2 linked regions of the Cricetulus griseus genome follow. The protein of the gene in region 1 interacts with the protein of each later gene in a biochemical or structural test. Links are inferred from orthologs where the notes say so. Each region holds a gene or a part of one and is shown on either strand. Other genes may lie near its edges. The genes, in order: Gprasp1 and Oprd1.

Region 1 (8,430 bases):
CTGGGGACAGCAACTTTAGACAGAAAGTGGGCATGGTTTTGTTGTTGTTTGTTTGGGCCCAGGGATGTGTGCCTATGTGGCAGGCACTAAAGTCCCTTTCCTTTTGCAGGACTTCCCCCCCACTGTCAGCTGTTGGTCTTAACATCGCTTGAACGCATCAAAAGGAGGGAATTGCACCACCTCGGCGAAGGTTGGTATGGGAGGGCTTCACTTTTAGGTGGGAGTAGTAGGGATCACCAAGAGTGACTGCTGTGAGATTCGGGGGCTCCTCTCTATCTTCATTTCTAGGGTGTATACTATTTCCTCAACCCTGCACCTGTTTTCCCTTGGGCAAAAGAACATAGAGGTTTTCTCTTAGCTGAGCTGTTCCACTCAGCGTTATGCACCAGTGTCTCTGTGTAGTTGCTACAGGAGGCAACAGAATTGTATGAGACTGATTTCCTCCTTTTTTTTCTCTTTCTAGATCACCTGCAGTAGCTGCTTGGTGGTGCTGGGGTTGCTGCTGACCAGTGCACTCAACAGATCTGCACCCACCTAGGACCTGTCCATCGTCCCCTGGCTTGGCCTCACCTCTTCTGCACTGTATCTGTGTTATTGACTGAGACTGCTTGGGTAGGAGCCTCGTTGAGTGCTGGATTGTCACTCTCGTCTAATTCTTTTAGATCTCATAGTCTAACTTACCAAAGAGTGTTGTGAAGATCAGCCCTGTAACAGATCTGCAGTGAAGGTTTACTGTTGTTAATTGGTATATATCGGGGTTTTATCTAACATATACTATGACTAAGGCAGAGATGGAGCCTGGTGCCCAGGCAAAGGCCGAGAGTAAGCCTGGGGATGAGAATGCCAATACCAATACCAATGGTGCTGAGGGAGAGAGTGAAGCCCCAATGGTGGTCAGACCCAAGGTTAGGACACAGATAATGCCTGGAGCAAGACCCAAAGTGAGGCCTAAGACTACTCCTGCACCCAGACCTAGGAGTGAAGCCAGTGCACCAGCTGGGGCATATGCTAAATGCAAACCCAAGTCCATCCCTATTGCACGATCAAAGAATGATGCCCAAGTCTGGGCTCCAAATCGGTTTCGGGCAGAGCCCATGTCAAAAATGGGCAAACAATGTCAGATCAATCCTGCAGACTCTCCACTGGTCAATACTGATTCTGGGATGGTTGCTCAAGCGAAGTGCCTGTCTGTAGATAGAGAACATGGTCATATGGACACTGAGAGTTTTCCTAGGAAGGCTAATTCTCAAGCAGGATACCAGCCTTCCTTTGGCTCAGAGGAGGGAACCAGTATGGGGTCCTGGTACCGTCCCAGGCCTACCCCCAAAGGAGAGGCTTATGAGAATTCTGATTTCAGATGGGCAGACAAACCCTCAGGAAGTTCCTCCTTCTGGAATAGGGATGAAACTAGTGCAAGATTTCGTCCTAGGAAAAACATGAAGCCCAGTAATACCAGGTTCAGACATATGCCCAAACAAGAGGCAAATAGCATGCCTAGGCACAAAACCAAACAAGAGCTATATAATATTTCTAGTTCTGATTCTGAAGAGGAGTCTGCTAAGACTCCCTGGTTCTGGGCCAAAGAAAAGCCCAAAGTCTGGTCTAGGCCCAGAGAAGAGCCCAATAATAGGTCCTGGATTAGGCCTAAGAAAGAAGTCCGTGTTGAATCCTCTTCCGGGTCTGAATGTGAAAATCAGACAAAATCTTCATTCTGGTCTGGAGAAGATGCCAAATCTAGACCCAAACCCAGAGCCAGGAAAGGGATGAATACGAGGGCCAGGCACCAGGCCAAGCGAGAGGCTGGCAGTGACGGCCTATCTGCATCTGTAGATACAAACAAAAAAGAGTCCTGCTCCTTCCCTGAAGATAAGGCTAGTGCTTTGTCAAAGTCTAAGCCAAAGAAAGAGCCCAAAACCAGAGCAGTGCCAAAGGAAGAAGTCAAAACCAAGGCCAGAGCAACTACCAAACGAGAAGCCAGGGCAGAGGAGGAAGTCTTCATTGGGGCTTGGTTCTGGGATACCCAGGAGCCCAGGATGGTAGATAGGGTAAGCCCCAAGGCCAGCTTACTTGTAGAGGAGGAGCCCTTTGTTGGAGATTGGTTCTGGAGTGAAGAAGAAACCAGTGTGGACTCTGAGACCTGTTGTAAACCCAGACGAAGGGCTAAGGAGGAACAAGTTAGGGCTTTCTCTTTAGGCTCTGGAAAGAAGACCAGTATGGAAAATGGGCCCAAGCCTACCTCTAAGTCTGTGCCTGTAGCTAATGAGGAGGAAAAGAACATTGTTGGGTCCTGGTTCTGTGCTGATGATGAAGATATCAACTTAGAGGCTGAGGACGAGTCCATTTTTGGATCTTGGTTCTGGGGTGTTGGCGAGAACTCCCTGAGATCTGTTGGAGTCAGTTATGAGAAGATGCTAAAGTCTGGGGAAAAAGAAGTTACTGATTCGTGGTTCTGGGCTAGGGAAGTCAATCCAGAAGCTGAGGTTGAAGAACAGGCCAGGCCAGCATCTGCAAAAGGGACAATCTTTGTGCCTTGGTTTTGGTCTGAAAAAAATTTAGGGACTGAACCTTGCTCTGACATCATGGCAGGAGCTGAGGAGGAGCCCATAATTGGGCCCTGGTTCTGGGCTAAAGTAGACAATAGTGCAGACATTGACGATAGCAGTAAGTCTAGCCTGGAGGATGAGGAAGAGCCCATTATATCTCCTTGGCTTGGGGCCAGAGAACAAGCCAATATGAAGTATGCAGCTGGGGCCAGATACAAGCCTGTGGCAGAAGCTGGGGAAAATAATAAAAGGTCTGACTTCTGGGCAAAAGAACCCAGTTTGTGTCATGCCAATAGACAAATCTTGAAGTCTACTCTGAGAGAGCAAGAGAACACTGTTGATTCATGGCTCTGGTCCAATAATTATCCAAGGAAACAGGCCATTGCAGGGTCCTGGTTATGGGCTGCAGAAGAGGGAAATATAGATGATGAGACCGGAGAAGAGATCAAGCTACCAACTTTAGAGGACAACATACTCAATTCTTGGTTCTGGAAGGAAAACGAAGAAACTGTTGTAGAAGCTGCCAACAGAGAGGAATCCAAGCCAGAAGCTGAAGAGGAAGACATCATTGGCTCCTGGTTTTGGGCTGGGGATGAGAACAGATTTCAGCCAGCAACTGAGATTAATGAAGAGAACAAGATAACATCCGAAGAGGAAGATACAGTTGGATCCTGGCTCTGGGGCAAGGAAGAGGCCAGTCTTGAGGCAATGAGAAGGGGCACTTTTGAGTCCACTCCTGGTATTAAGGAGGGAAAAATTAGTGGGTCCTGGTTCTGGACCGAAGAAGCCAAAGTAGGGGCTGGGTCGCAGACAATCGAAACTGGGTCAGAAACTGAAGAGGAGGCAATTTTTCAGTCTTTGATCTGGGCTGCCAAAAAGGACAATGTACGAGCGGGAGTAAACCGTGTGTCCAAGCCAGAAAATGAGAAAGGGCCAAATGTTGAGGTTAGGTCAAGTGCAAAAGATGAGGTGATTAACAAGGCTGGCAGTGGAGATAACTGTGAATCTAATGCAGAAGCTGAAAACATAGTGGGATCCTGGTTCTGGGAAGGAGATGAAGCTAGTTTTGAATCAAATCCTACTCCTGTATTCAAGGCCGTTTGCAAGCCTAAGTCTTCAGCTGAGCAGGAACCTGATCCTTCCCGCAGACCCCAGAGCTGGGATGAGGTCACTGTTCAGTTTAAGCCTGGTCCATGGGGAAAGGCTGGTTTCCCATCCATAAGCCCCTTCAGGTTTCCAAAAGAAGCAGCATGTCTGTTTGCTGAAATGTTTGGGGGGAAACCTAAGCAAGAAGGAGAGGAGGAATCTTCATGTCAGTCTGAAAATGGGTTTCCATTTCAGTATGATCCCTCTTACCGATCAGTCCGGGAAATTCGAGAGCATCTTAAGGTCAGGGAAAGTGCAGACCCTGAGAGCTGGTCCTGTAGCTGCATACAGTGTGAGCTTAATATTGGCTCTGAGGAGTTTGAGGAACTTCTTTTACTGATGGACAGAAACCGAGACCCTTTCATTCATGAAATATCTAAAATTGCAATGGGCATGAGAAGCGCTTCTCAGTTTACCCGAGATTTCATTAGAAACTCGGGTGTCGTCTCACTTATCGAAGCCTTACTTAACTATCCGTCCACCCGAGTTAGGACAAGGTTTTTGGAAGATATGGTTAGCATGGCTCCACCTTATCCAGATCTAAATGTGATTCAGACATACGTGTGTCAGGTTTGTGAGGATACCTTTGATTATGACTTGGATTCCCCCGAGCAGTTGTCTGGATTGTCAATGATTACCCACCTCAGTGCTACTTCTGACTACCACAAAGTGGTTGGCAAGTATTTGGCTGGGTTCTTCTACTTACTGAATTCAGGCAATACCAAAACAAGGTTTCATGTTCTGAAATTGCTACTGAATTTGTCTGAAAATCTCATCATGACAAAACGACTGCTTGCTACTGAGTCCATGTCTGAATTTATGACCCTCTTTAGTAAGGAGGACTCAAATGACAACATTCAAATTGTTCTTGCGATATTTGACAAGATTAGCAAAAATATACAGAAAGAAGCCCTGTTTGCTGATGATGATGATGAGGAGGAGGAGGTGGTGGTGAATCTTGACCCACTTATTTCTGCATTCCATGAGATTGAAAACTTTGCTAAAACACTAAAACGCAAACCTGACAATTAAAAATCACCCGAAGCAGAACAAAACCATTTAATATGCTTAACCATTTGCCTATGATTGTCCTTGTGTTCCCAAGTCATAACGACCCTCAAGTAATGCTTTGGTTTCACAGCTGATTCCGTGTTTCAGTGTACCTCTTCAATGCTGGTGATAATTTTACCCAACTCTGTGGAAGCTGTATCATTTTCCTAATGCCAAATGAATATACAACTGAGAACACATTTGTTGATGATACTTGTTTTGTTGATTGTACTGTTCAATATGTGAGTTTAAAGTGAACTGAGCCATTGTAAATAAGATACCCTTCTAATTGTGCCCATGTGTATCTATTTGAGTGAGTCTTGTGCTTCAATAAAGTTATATGTTAAAGCAAGCAGAAATTTCCCCTTCACTATAAAATAACAGATGCAAAGATGGCACATGAACATGCACACAAATATTGTATGAGTAACATGCTTGTTACAAAAGCTTTTTCTCAGCATTAAATCTGAAAAGTTGGAATGGACTGCAACTCGGAGCATACCTCCGAGAGGAGTCACTTTAAGGTATACCCTAATTCAACTTACGGTGAGAGGGAAAGTGTGGGGTATGAAAAAGTGCATCTATATTTATATATCCAGATTCTTGGACTAGGTGGGAGGAGTACAAATTGAAAATAATATATTGAAAATGAGGTAAGTTTTGAAGCGCAAATGGAACTTTGCTGTTCAAAATACTGTGTTCAAAATACAACCAGTGCAATGCAGAGTGTAAAAGAATAACACCAGTAAGCACAACATTTTAATTCAGTCAAGTGCATAATTAAATCATAATGGTTTTGTTATCACTTGATAAGACACTGTCCTGTGGTATTAGAGCTGGGGAGATGGCTCAGTATAAAGTGCTTGCTAGGCAAGCCTAATGTCCTCAGTTCGGACCCCAATCACCCACATAAAAATACAGCGATGCTTGTGAATATCTCTAACCCTTGTTCTCAGGAGCAGAGACGGGAAGGTCCCAGGGGCTTTCTGGCCAGCCAGGCTAGCCAGTCTGTGAGCTTGAGGTTTTGTAAGAGACCCTGTCTCAAAAATGAAGTGATTGCAATAGAGGAAGAAATTTGATATAGTCATATGGCCTCTGCACATGTACACATGTACATAATACCACATACACAACACATGAAGTCAAGTGTTTAACCACTGATTTTAAAATGTAGTAAGCCATGACCCTTTCAATAATTTGTAAAGAATTGTGTATATGGAAATAATGGAGGAGTCTAGAAGGAGTTGGGGGAAGAAGAAAATATGATTAAATCTGTTGTATGAAAAAAGGTTTTAAATAAAAATTTAAGAATAATTAATTACATTTAAAACATAAATGTAGGTGGGACAAATTTACTCAAAGTATGTTACTAGTTTATGAAATTTCTACAGTTACATATACAAAACATCAAAGGAATAATGACACAACTTCAGAACTGGGTTGTCAATCAGAGCACAAAATTATCTAAAAACAAAAACTATCTGCAAAACTATCAAAGTTTACTAATTCATTCCACACTATTTTGTTGTTGATGTTTCTGGAGACAGGCTGTTTTGTAGCCCTGGCTAGCTTCAACCTTGGTGTGTACCTGGGACTCACTTTGAACTTCTAATGCTAGGATTAGGGGTGGCTGTACTCAGATTCAGGCAACACTGGGATTGAACTTTCCTTCATGCATGATAAGAAAGCACACTTTAAGACTGATTTGCACCTCCAGTCCCACACAATGTATCATTAATTCATGAAGGTTGTAGCATAGGCTCATAAGGGGAAATATATAGCAAAATAGGGAAATATATAACGTTTTAGATATTTTATTGGCATATACAGAATAATGGGTTTCCTAATGATATTTGCTTATATGCATATAATACATTTTGATCATATTAACCCTGTTACTGTCTTCTTCCACTCCTATTTCCAGTGATCCCTTTCTTTTAATCAACTGGCTACCCCCACCTTTTAAGTTGTTTTTTTTTTTTTTTTTTCTGATGATCCGGTTAGTTTAATTAAGGTTATTTATGGGAGCACGGTCAACTTTGCTGTGGTTACACCATGGATAAAAATACCTCTCATGGCCCCAGCAACTATTAACTGGCTGTGGAACCTCAGACAGGCATGGGAGCATGTAAGTTCCTCCCCCAAGCAACCATTAATTGACTAAATCCTCAGGGAATGGCAAGGCCTTAACAGGAACACCCCTCTACAATGAAATGTCAAAGGGCCAATCTTGTGCAAAAGACCACAGCTTCTAAGAGTTCCAGAGTGCAATAGTCCTGTCTTGCCCAGAAGACAGCATTTCACAACACCCCTTCCTCCAGCTCTTACATTCTTCTTGTCTCCTTTTATACAGTATTTCCTGAGCTTTGGATGGGGTGACATAGATGTCCCATTTAGGGACAGACATTCAACAGTGACATTCTCAGCACTGTAACCAGTTAGGAGTCTCTGCAGTAACTGTTGCTCAGTGCAAAAAGAAGCTGATGTGCTCTGCAAGGCTCCAGGGACTTTACTGGAGTGATGAGGATGTAAAGAAAGGACAAATGTGAGTACAGAAAAGCTAGAATCAGGTGCGTTGTGCTTTTCTGATGGAGTAGCTACAGTACCCCAGAAGCTTGGTGTGTTTATTACAGTTGAATAGGAAGGCAGGACTATCAAATACAGTGGAGTTATTACATATGGATACACAAGGAGTCGGGATTATTGAACATATCTGAACAAGGTTTAGCTAATGTTGTAAAGAGCTGTCTCTGTAAGGGAGGTAAACATCCATGGGAGAAAGTTATGCTGGACATTTTCTGCACACACTCAAACTAGAGGAAAGCTTTATCATCACTCCTCTGAGCCTCACCCAGGGAAGGTTTTGTCACTCTCATGGAATTAAGGCATTGGGGTCCTTAGGCATGGCCATGCCCATATCAGCAACACAATTCACTTGGGACTTCACTCACTCTTTACACCTCTCTGACCATAACTGACACAATACATATGGGTGTGCACTTTGGAGGGTTAGAAGGGGCAGTAGTAGTTCAAGGTCAGTCTTGACTACCTAGCAAAGTTGAGACCAGTCTGGGCTACATGAGACCTTGCCTCAAAAAAAGAAATACAGCCAGGCAGTGGTGGCACACACCTTTAATCCCAGGAAGCAGAGGCAGGTGGATCGCTGTGAGTTTGAGGCCGGCCTGGTCTACGGCGCAAGTTCCAACAACCCCAGTGGTGATAGCCTGTGTTGAAGAAGGATGCACAAGTCTCCCTGGCCAACAACAACTCATTGAGAGGCACCCATCAATGGCACAAGAATTTTACTTTAATAATATCATGGCTTCTGGAAGTTGCTTAGGATTTAACAAGCTTCCTTGTGGCCTTTTCATATGTACTTAGTTTTGATTGACCCTCGTGCTACAGCATCCTTTCTTCCATCCTGCTATACTCCTTCCCCACTTAAACCTTCTACTGTCACCACTTCCCTTTCCATTTTCACATCACTCATGTTCTACTACCTCCCCTAGTTTAAAGCCCATTTGTCTATGGACCTTTTTCTAGTTCCTTGGCCCTTATTCACACACACACACACACACACACACACACACACACACACACACACACACACACACACACACACACACGGAGCTAGGATCCACATATGAGAGAGAACATGTGCTGTTTGTATTTCTCTGGCCTTGGTTGCCCA
Region 2 (8,872 bases), on another chromosome or scaffold:
CTCTCTCTCTCTCTCTCTCTGTGTGTGTGTGTTTATGTGTCCGTGTGTGTTCCTCTCTCTCTGTGTGTGTGTGTGTGTGTGTGTGTCTCTGTATGTGTGTGTGTTTATGTGTGTGTTCCTCTCTCTCTCTCTCTCTCTCTCTCTCTCTCTCTCTCTCTCTCTGTATGTGTGTGTGTTTATGTGTGTGTTCCTCTCTCTCTCTCTCTCTGTGTGTGTGTGTGTGTGTGTTCCTCTCTCTCTCTGTGTGTGTGTGTGTTCCTCTCTCTCTCATGTGTGTGTGTGTGTTCCTCTCTCTCTCTCTTTCTGTGTGTGTTCCTCTCTCTCTCTCTCTCTCTCTCTCTCTCTCTGTGTGTGTGTGTGTGTGTGTGTGTGTGTGTGTGTGTGTGTGTGTGTGTACAGAAGCAGAGATGGGAAAGAAATGCATATAAATGACTAAGCTTTTCTCTGCAGTAGGATTATGGGTAATATCAACCTCTGCCAGAACATCTCCTTAGGTCCTGAAGTAACTATCTAGTTATCTTTATTATAAAAGAAAGCTTCTAATATTGACCTGATGAACTTGCCCTGTAGCACCCACTCAGAGCTCTTCCCATGCTTAATAAACATCAATGGGGTGAATGAGAGGTGAGCCTTACCCCTCCCCCTCACAGCCAGACTTCACAGAAATTGCTTCTGAGACCCTTACTAAACACCTGGTGCTGGTTCATGCTCCGTGATCTCCTCACACTCATCCTTGGAGGGTCTACCATCCTCCCATTCCACAGAGCAGAACACTGAGGCACAGAAAGATTAATGTACGGATTGTTTAAGCTCACTCTCTTAGAAAATGTCAGTTGGCCCTGAAATTTGGGCTTGCAGCTTCTGGGTCACCCACTGAGGTCTCGGAGATTTGCACAACCCTGACCTCCACTCTGCATGCGTCTCAAGAGTAGCATAGGCGGAGTGGTTAACGCTGGTTTGGGGGCTCAGAAAGACCTGAGTCTATGCTGGGCATGCTTGTCTGTAACCCCAGCACTTGGTGTGGCAGAGACAGGAAGAGGAGAAGTTCTAGTTCATCCTCAACTACACAGCAAGTTGGGGACCAGCCTTGGCTATAGGAAACTCTGTCACAGAACAAAAGCTGAGCTTGTGACTCCACTAAACTCCTCTGTAGTGGGAGGCCTCTGTACCCATGTCCTCGACTATGAATGAGAATAGAAAGTCCCACTGCAGAATTGTGGTGCAGGTTGGAGAATCCCTAGAGCCCAGGAGAAGGCTCAGGAAAGACTTCGGTGTCCTTGGTGACTCCTCCTACTCACCCCGCTGTGTCTGTGAGTCATACACACTCCTCAGGGAATGATCCTAAGACCTAGGAAATGGCAGATTGTGGGTAAGGCCAGGAGGCCCTGGCTGCTGCTCACTCTGCCCTCTCCCCGTTTGGTTTCACCCAAAGTCATCAGTCCAGTTTCTGCCTTCCTGTCAGGTCTAGCAGGCTTGAGTTGCAGAGAGGCCATGGAGGCTGGAGACAGGGGTTTTGGTTACCTGCCCAGGGTCACAGGGCTCCTCCCGTTGCCTGGCACCAGCCTCTGATTCCCCCCACACTCACTCTCTGCCCACCTCGTCTGCTCCAGACTATACCAGATCTATACTCTTGACCACCATTCTTCACAGATGTCCCCCTCCCCAGACACCCCTAGACTTCCCAGCACAGCTGGCCTTAGCATGGAGCCAAGAACCTGTCCAGACTCCAATTCCACATCCAGAATAGCAGTCAGAGCCCCAGCACACTGCCTGTTCCTAACACAGCCACCCTGGCCTGTCTCCAAGACTCTCCTCAACTTCTCACTCCTTCCCCATTTTCCCGCCCTCCCCCAGATCAATTCCTTCTGTTGCCTGGGGTCTATAGAACCCCTCCAGCGTCTACACCTTTTTGGGCATTCTGGAAGGCAGAGGCTAAGTTGACAGACTCATCACCAGCCACTAGGCTCTAACGAAGCTCAGGACATAGCAGACGTTTCCAACAACCCCAGAGAGAGGACCACCACTGCCAAGGCTTTTTATGCCTTTATCCTGCAGCCTCTCCACCTTCTGGCCACCCAGACCCCAGACGAAACTCCTGGCTCTTTACCAGATCTCTCGATGTCCTTCTGCCCCACCCACCTCACCACAGAGCCCACTGCAGCTGCTCCTTCACCACTCAGTCCAGGCATCACCTCCTCTGGCTAAATCAAGTCCCTGCCCTGAATCCCACAGCCCTAGGATTTGATCCTGAGGTAGCCTCTAACCTTAGATCCTTGAGTATGGATGTTAAGAGCTAGAGGCTACCTGAGGTTTGGGCTCACTCACGCTCTGGGCATCGAAAGCTCTGACGGCCAGGCATGATGGTGCACACCTTTAATTCTAGCACTCGGGAGGCCAAGGCAGGTGGATCTCTAAGAGATGACTGCAAAGCCAGCCATGTTCTGCATAGTGAGTTTCAGACCAGCCAAAGCTGTGTCAAAAACAAAAACAAAAACCTAAGGCTGGACAGGTGTAGCAATGAGTAACAACAGTGATTTTAATTGATGACTGACTAAATGTGCACGTTTGCAGGGCAGGAGACAGGGCCCAACATGGAAACTATAGACAACTAATCCTCAACAGCTGCCCACCTGCAGAAGCTGCTGACGTGCTGGCCCAGCCCCCAACACACACGGAAGGCCTAGTGTACTCCAGGTGCCTGCTATGAGGACATTCCCTGCATCACTCTGTTAAACCTTCCCAACAGCCTATTGTAGTCACCATACTTTTTCAAATGAGGTAAGGGAGGCTCCGGAAAGTTGAGCTTTTTGGCCACCACCACATCAGTCATGTTGAAGATGTTAGAAACTGGGCACCACACCACAGCCATGACCTTTACCTCCACACTGCCTCATCTTTCTGGAGGGTCTTCTGACTGGGAGTAAAAGATCTGAACCCCTAATCTGAGCAAGAGGGGGGACAGAGGCAAGCGGCCATACTGCATCTCTCTAAACAACACTGGGCTTGGTGCTCCCAAGTCTCAAAATTGTGGTTGAGAACTCTTCCCAGCAGCCCCAGGGAACCTCGGCAGAAGACAGAGGGGACAACCCAAACCTTTCATACTGCAAAGCCTGCTATGAACCCTTACCTCAGTATGAGAGAGAAAAAAATGCTTTACTAACGTCACTGTGCCCCCAGGTACAGTGAATTAGAGACATTTCACTTTGTTAACTTAGGCAGTACTCAGTGTTGCACATTGGTGGGCAGGTGCTCTCCCATTTAACTCTACCCCAAGCCCGTTGTCCTCGACTGGCCTCCAGTTCTCTATGCAACCAAAGATAACTTCTGGCTTCTGAGCCTTCTGCTTCCATACCCACAGGGCTGGGATTACAGCCATGGACCACCACACCCAGTTTATGGTGTGTCAGGGATCGAACCCAGGGTGTCACAAATTTACACAAGCTCTACCCACTGAGCTACATCCTGTGTCTCTTAAGCCCTTGTTTGCCTCTCTCCTGTCTCTTCTCTCTCTCTCTCTCTCTCTCTCTCTCTCTCTCTCTCTCTCTCTCTTTCCCATCACCACCCTGGTCTTGCTGTATCCTAGACCTCAAGAAGGATAGCCTGCCCTGAATCATAGACAGAGTTCCTGACCACATGACCACTGTGGAAGGGAAGAGAACCTATGGCCAGTCCACAGGAACCATGGGGCTCTCTATTAGAGAACACACAGCTTAAAGACAGGTGCGCAAAGCCATCCTGGATGTCTCCCTCACCTAGGAGCTGTAGAGGCCTGACAAGAAACAATGCAAATACAGTCTCATACAGAATCACAAACTGATGTTTTGGGACAAGCCCACACTGCCACAGCAACCACAAATGATGACAACCAAATGTGATTTGTGGAGTGTCCCTGCAGCATGGATCTGTCCCTGCTGTATGCTCCGAAGACCCAAGGCATGGTATAAAACACCTCAGCCCACCCCTGTGATGTTTCAGAGGACCACACACACACACACACACACATACACACACACACACACATACACACACACACACACACACACAGACACACACACACACACACACACACACACAGACACACACACACATCACACACACACACACACACACACACACACACACACACACACACACACACACACACTCCTCCTGTCAAATTGCTGGATCACAAACTGTGTGTGACAAAGTGTTGCCAAACGGCCTCACTTCCCGGATGCAGAAGCAAAGGAATGTCAAGGATGATTAATTGTGATGTAGTTAGGCTAGTGCAAGAAAACACACACACACACACACACACACACAGAGAGAGAGAGAGAGAGAGAGAGAGAGAGAGAGAGAGAGAGAGAGAGGACTTGGCCTCTGTGCGGGACATGCAGGAGCTGGGAGACTCGGGGTTGGGATCCGGGTCTGCAAAAACGTAGTGTCCACACTGACCCTGGGACCAAACCCCACGCGGGGCCCTCGGCTAACTCACCGGACGATGCCAAACATGACGAGCACGTTGCCCAGCAGCCCCACTGCGCACACAGCCGAGTAGAGCGCGGTGATGGCGATGGCTAGGGCGAGGGATGAGGCGCTCCGGGCGCCCGGCGGCCCCGACGCGTTGGCGCTCGCACTGGGAAAGGCGCTGGGGAAGGTGTCCGAGGCGTTGGCCAGCGGGGACTGCAGCTCCGCGCGGGCAGAGGGCACTGGCTCCATGGCGCCGCCGCGTCCGTCTCCACCGTGCGCCCTGGGCGCAGGGACCCAGAAAGTGGCGCACGGACAGCGGAGGCCACGGCCCCGACGTCGCAGGCTGCAGCGCTAGCTCCCGCCTCCTCCGCCCAGCCGGCCGCCCGCTGCGCTCGCCCAAGCCCTGGGAGCCCCGAGCCGCCGCGTGCACCACGTGGCTCGGAGGCGGCCGCCAGTCTGAGCCCGCGATCGGGGGCGGGCGCTGCACCACCGGCTCGGGGGCTGGGCCGGAGAGGCCTCCCGCGTGCTCCCTCGCTGGGTTCCGCCTGGCGCCCCCAGTCCGGCCTGGCCTCCCGCACCACCCCGGTGCCACTTTGGAGTCAGAAGAACCTGGATGCGAATCCCGCCTCCCGCCTCTGCACGGACGAGGGGTGTAACCTTGAGCGAGTCGCTTAAGCGCTCTCAAGTTCATTCTCTGTATCTGCAAGATGAAGAAAATCACCCTGCCGTCTTGATAGGGTTTGGGGGAGATGAAGACGACGGAGTAAAGAACTCAGATTTCTTTCCTGCGACTCGATGTTCTGTGCGCTCTCTACTCTTCTCCATGTCTTCTCCCAAAACAATCAAGTGACTCCTGACCAAGAGGCAAAAACAAAACCGTCCGGTTCCCCCAAAAAGATCCTAATTAGATTTGGTGATAAAAATCAGCTACAACCCCAGGGAGAGACACTGGAAATGAAGGACCCACCTGAGTCTGTAAGGCCTTGCATAGGAGATGGCAGACGTGATGCCATCAGGGTGCCTGGCATCTCACCACATCAAGCTGAAAAGGTCACAGCTATCAGGAAAGTTGAGTATCCTGATAACTTTCCTGTCTTGGAGCTGTGCTCTGAGCTAGCTCACTGCTTCCGATGTAAGTGAGCGCTTTAGAGAGAGAAGGAGAGATCTACCAACACCCATTAGCAGCCATGTTTTTCTATATCCATTCATTAGCTCCACAGATCCTCGGAGGGTGCCTCATGTAAGAGGCAGCACAGGGGTGTCCGGCTCCCAAGGGCTTCCAGCTCAAAGGGAGAGCCACACACCAATTCTAAAACTCACGCTCAAGTCCTGCTTGAGGAAGGGGATGGGGCTTGAGGAAGGGGATGGGGCTATGAAACGGGGGGGGGGGGCCCTTAGGATAGGTTTCCTAAGGAAATGACAGCTGAGGTGAGGTGTGAATTTAGGAGTGAGGGAGACTAATTTAGGGAAGAAATCAGGAAGAGCATTCTAGAAAAAGGAAACATACACGAAGGCCCTACAGTCAAAAGGACTGAAGCCACCCAGGGCCTACAGCAGGTGGTGTGTGAGAGAATGGGTCTCTACGATGGACAAGATCTGAAAGGTCATTGCGTTCAGTTTCTTTATTTGTTGGCCTCAATTTGACTAAACATATCTGGGAAGAGGGAATCTTTTGTTTTGGTTTGGTTTGTTTCTCAAGACAGGGTTTCTCTGTGGCTTTGGAGGCTGTCTGGAACTAGGCAGGCTGGTCTCAAACTCACAGAGATCCACCTGCCTCTGCCTCCCAACTGCTGGGACTAAAGGTGTGTGCCACCACGGCCCGGCTCGAAGAGGGAATCTTAATTGAGAAAATGCCCGATAAGATTTGCCTGTAGACAAGTCTGTGGAACATTTTCTTTATTACTGATGTGGGGGTGCAAATGCCACCCCTGAGCAGCCACTCCTCGGCTGTATTAGAAAGCAGGTTGAGAAAGCCAGTAAGCCGTGTTCTTCTGTGGCTTCTGCCTCAGTTTCTGCCTCCAAGTTCCTGCCCTGAGATTCTTAGAGAATGGGCTATGATGCGCCCATCAGGTAAGCCAAGCAAACCCTTTCCTCCCCTAAATGCTTTTGGTCCCGGTGTTTTATCACAGCAATCAAAAAAAAACCCCTAAGACAAGCAACCTAAGAAGGGCTGGAGAGGTGACTCGGTGGCTAAGAGCACTTGCTGTTCCTGCAGAGGACTGGAGTTCAGTTCCCAGCATCCACATGGTGACTCTCAACAATCTGTACTCTAGTTCTAAGGTTTTGTTTTGTTTTTTAAGATTTATTTATTTATTATGTACACAGTGTTCTGCCTGCATGCATCCCTGCAGGCCAGAAGAGGGCATCAGATCTCATTACAGATGGTTGTGAGCCACTATGTGGTTGCTGGGAATTGAACTCAGGTCCTCTGGAACAACCAGTGCTTTTAACCCCTGAGCCATCTCTCCAGCCTGTGTTCTAGGGGTTCTGGCCCTCCCCTCTTCTGGCCTTCATGGACATTGCATACACATGGTGCACATACAATCCTGCAGCAAAAATTCAACAAACAAAAAAAGATCTCCCAGTGTGGTGGCACACACCTTTAATCCCGGCACTCAGGTGGCAGGGGCAGGCAGATCTCGATGAATTCAAGACCAGCCAGGTCGACTCAGCCTGTTCCAGGACAGCTAGGGCTGCGTAGTGAGACCCTGTCTTAAAAACAAGACCACCTTAAGGACCACTTGTGCTGTTAGAAGAGCAAATGAGGGAGTGGGGGGTCATTTAACTGACTCTTCCTTCCCACACCCATTCTCCAGCCCAGATCCTGAGCCATCCTTTTCCTTAAGGTTCCCAGACATTCTAGAACATTCTCTCTACCAAACTGTTGCATGCCTGGGAACTCTATTTCTAGTCAGACAGAGAGGACAAGGACAGACCAAAGAAAAGATCTATTTAAGTCTAGTTTGGCTACTTGCTTTAGCTGCTTATAAGAGCTTGGGTGCGGGGTTACCTACTAGAGGAGGAAAACCTAGAGCAGGTTCATCACCAACAAAAGCCCCATGCACTCGTGGATGATGACTTAAGGGAAATCCCTGGCACAACTCTTGGGCATCTACAACACTGAAGAGTCTCCACTCCCTAGCAACTCTTTGCTGTTTATTTGCCCTGAGCCAAGAAGCTCAGCATCTGTCATAAGTTTGCTGGGCTTCCTACATTTTTATTTCTTATGAGTCTGTTCACACATGCCCTCCAAAGAGACATTTTTTGTTTTGTTTTTCAAGACCTGTTTCTCTGTGTTAACAGTCTTGGCTGTCTTGGAACTCACTTTGTTGACCAGACTGGCTTCAAACTCACAGAGATCCACCTGCCTCTGCCTCCTGAGTGCTTGGATTAAAGGTGTGCGCCACCACTGCCTAGCTTTTTTTTTTTTTTTTTTAAGATAGGGCCCTACTGTACAGCCCAGGGACTCACAGTGTAGACTATGTTACCTTCAAACCAGTGGTAATCTCCTGACTATGCCTCCCAAGTGCTGGAATTACAGATGTGAGCTACTATGCCTGGCAGTCAAGGGAATGTTTGAAAGATGAAATGGCTATACAACCTGTGGTGGTTTGTTGGGGGCTATTACTTTACCTATGTGAAGATGTGTTACTCTGTTTATGTTGCAGAATATTACTTTAACTAGGTAAAGATGTCGCCAGGCAGTGGTGGCTCACACCTTTAGTCCCAGCACTCGGGAGGCAGAGGCATTTGGATCTCTGTGACTTTGAGGCCAGGGAAGTCTGGTCCTATGGGATGCTCAAGAAATGTCATTTGAAATGACAAAGACCCCCAGGTGGATTGGAGTAAGACCGTATTGGAACATCTCAGTTATGTGCTCTTGGCTAATGTCCTGGGTTCTGAGAGAAGGCTGGCGGGGAAAGTTCCCTCCCTCATCCCCCCAGTAGTCATTTATAAAGGCATTTATTTCTTCCCAGAAAGAACAGGGTCAGGGGCTCGAGAGATGGCTCAGCAGTCAAAAGCCAGTATTGCTCTTGTGAAAGAGCCAAATTTGGTTCCCAGCATCCATATTAAGAAGACTCAAAACTGCCTGTAGCTCAGCCCCAGGAGGATCAGACACTGAAGCCCGTTCTCTCTCTCTCTCTCTCTCTCTCTCTCTCTCTCTCTCTCACACACACACACACACACACACACACACCTGAAAACAGTATTTTTTTTTCTGAGACAGGGTTTCTCTGTGTCTTTGGAGGCTGTCCTGGAACTAGCTCTTATAGATCAGGCTGGTCTCAAACTCACAGAGATCCGCCTGCCTCTGCCTCCCCAGTGCTGGGACTAAAGGTGTGCACCACCACCACCAGGCAGAAAAGTATTTTTAAAAAATGCTTCCCATATATATATATATATATATATATATATATGGCCA

What was found.
Region 2: the proteins of Gprasp1 (region 1) and Oprd1 form a complex in vitro, tested with the Homo sapiens proteins (2 studies listed by BioGRID and IntAct). The link is inferred for Cricetulus griseus from reciprocal best matches to the Homo sapiens genes GPRASP1 and OPRD1.

Annotation. Positions count from the first base shown.
Region 1 is NC_048604.1:44,563,396-44,571,825, reverse strand, and holds the end of Gprasp1 (G-protein coupled receptor-associated sorting protein 1), read left to right. Parts: intron 1-109; 5' UTR 110-190; intron 191-463; 5' UTR 464-776; coding exon 777-4,721; 3' UTR 4,722-5,091; downstream 5,092-8,430. UniProt on the Homo sapiens protein: Modulates lysosomal sorting and functional down-regulation of a variety of G-protein coupled receptors. Targets receptors for degradation in lysosomes via its interaction with BECN2.
Region 2 is NC_048595.1:21,092,369-21,101,240, reverse strand, and holds the start of Oprd1 (delta-type opioid receptor), read right to left. Parts: upstream 4,699-8,872; coding exon 4,475-4,698; intron 1-4,474. UniProt on the Homo sapiens protein: G-protein coupled receptor that functions as a receptor for endogenous enkephalins and for a subset of other opioids.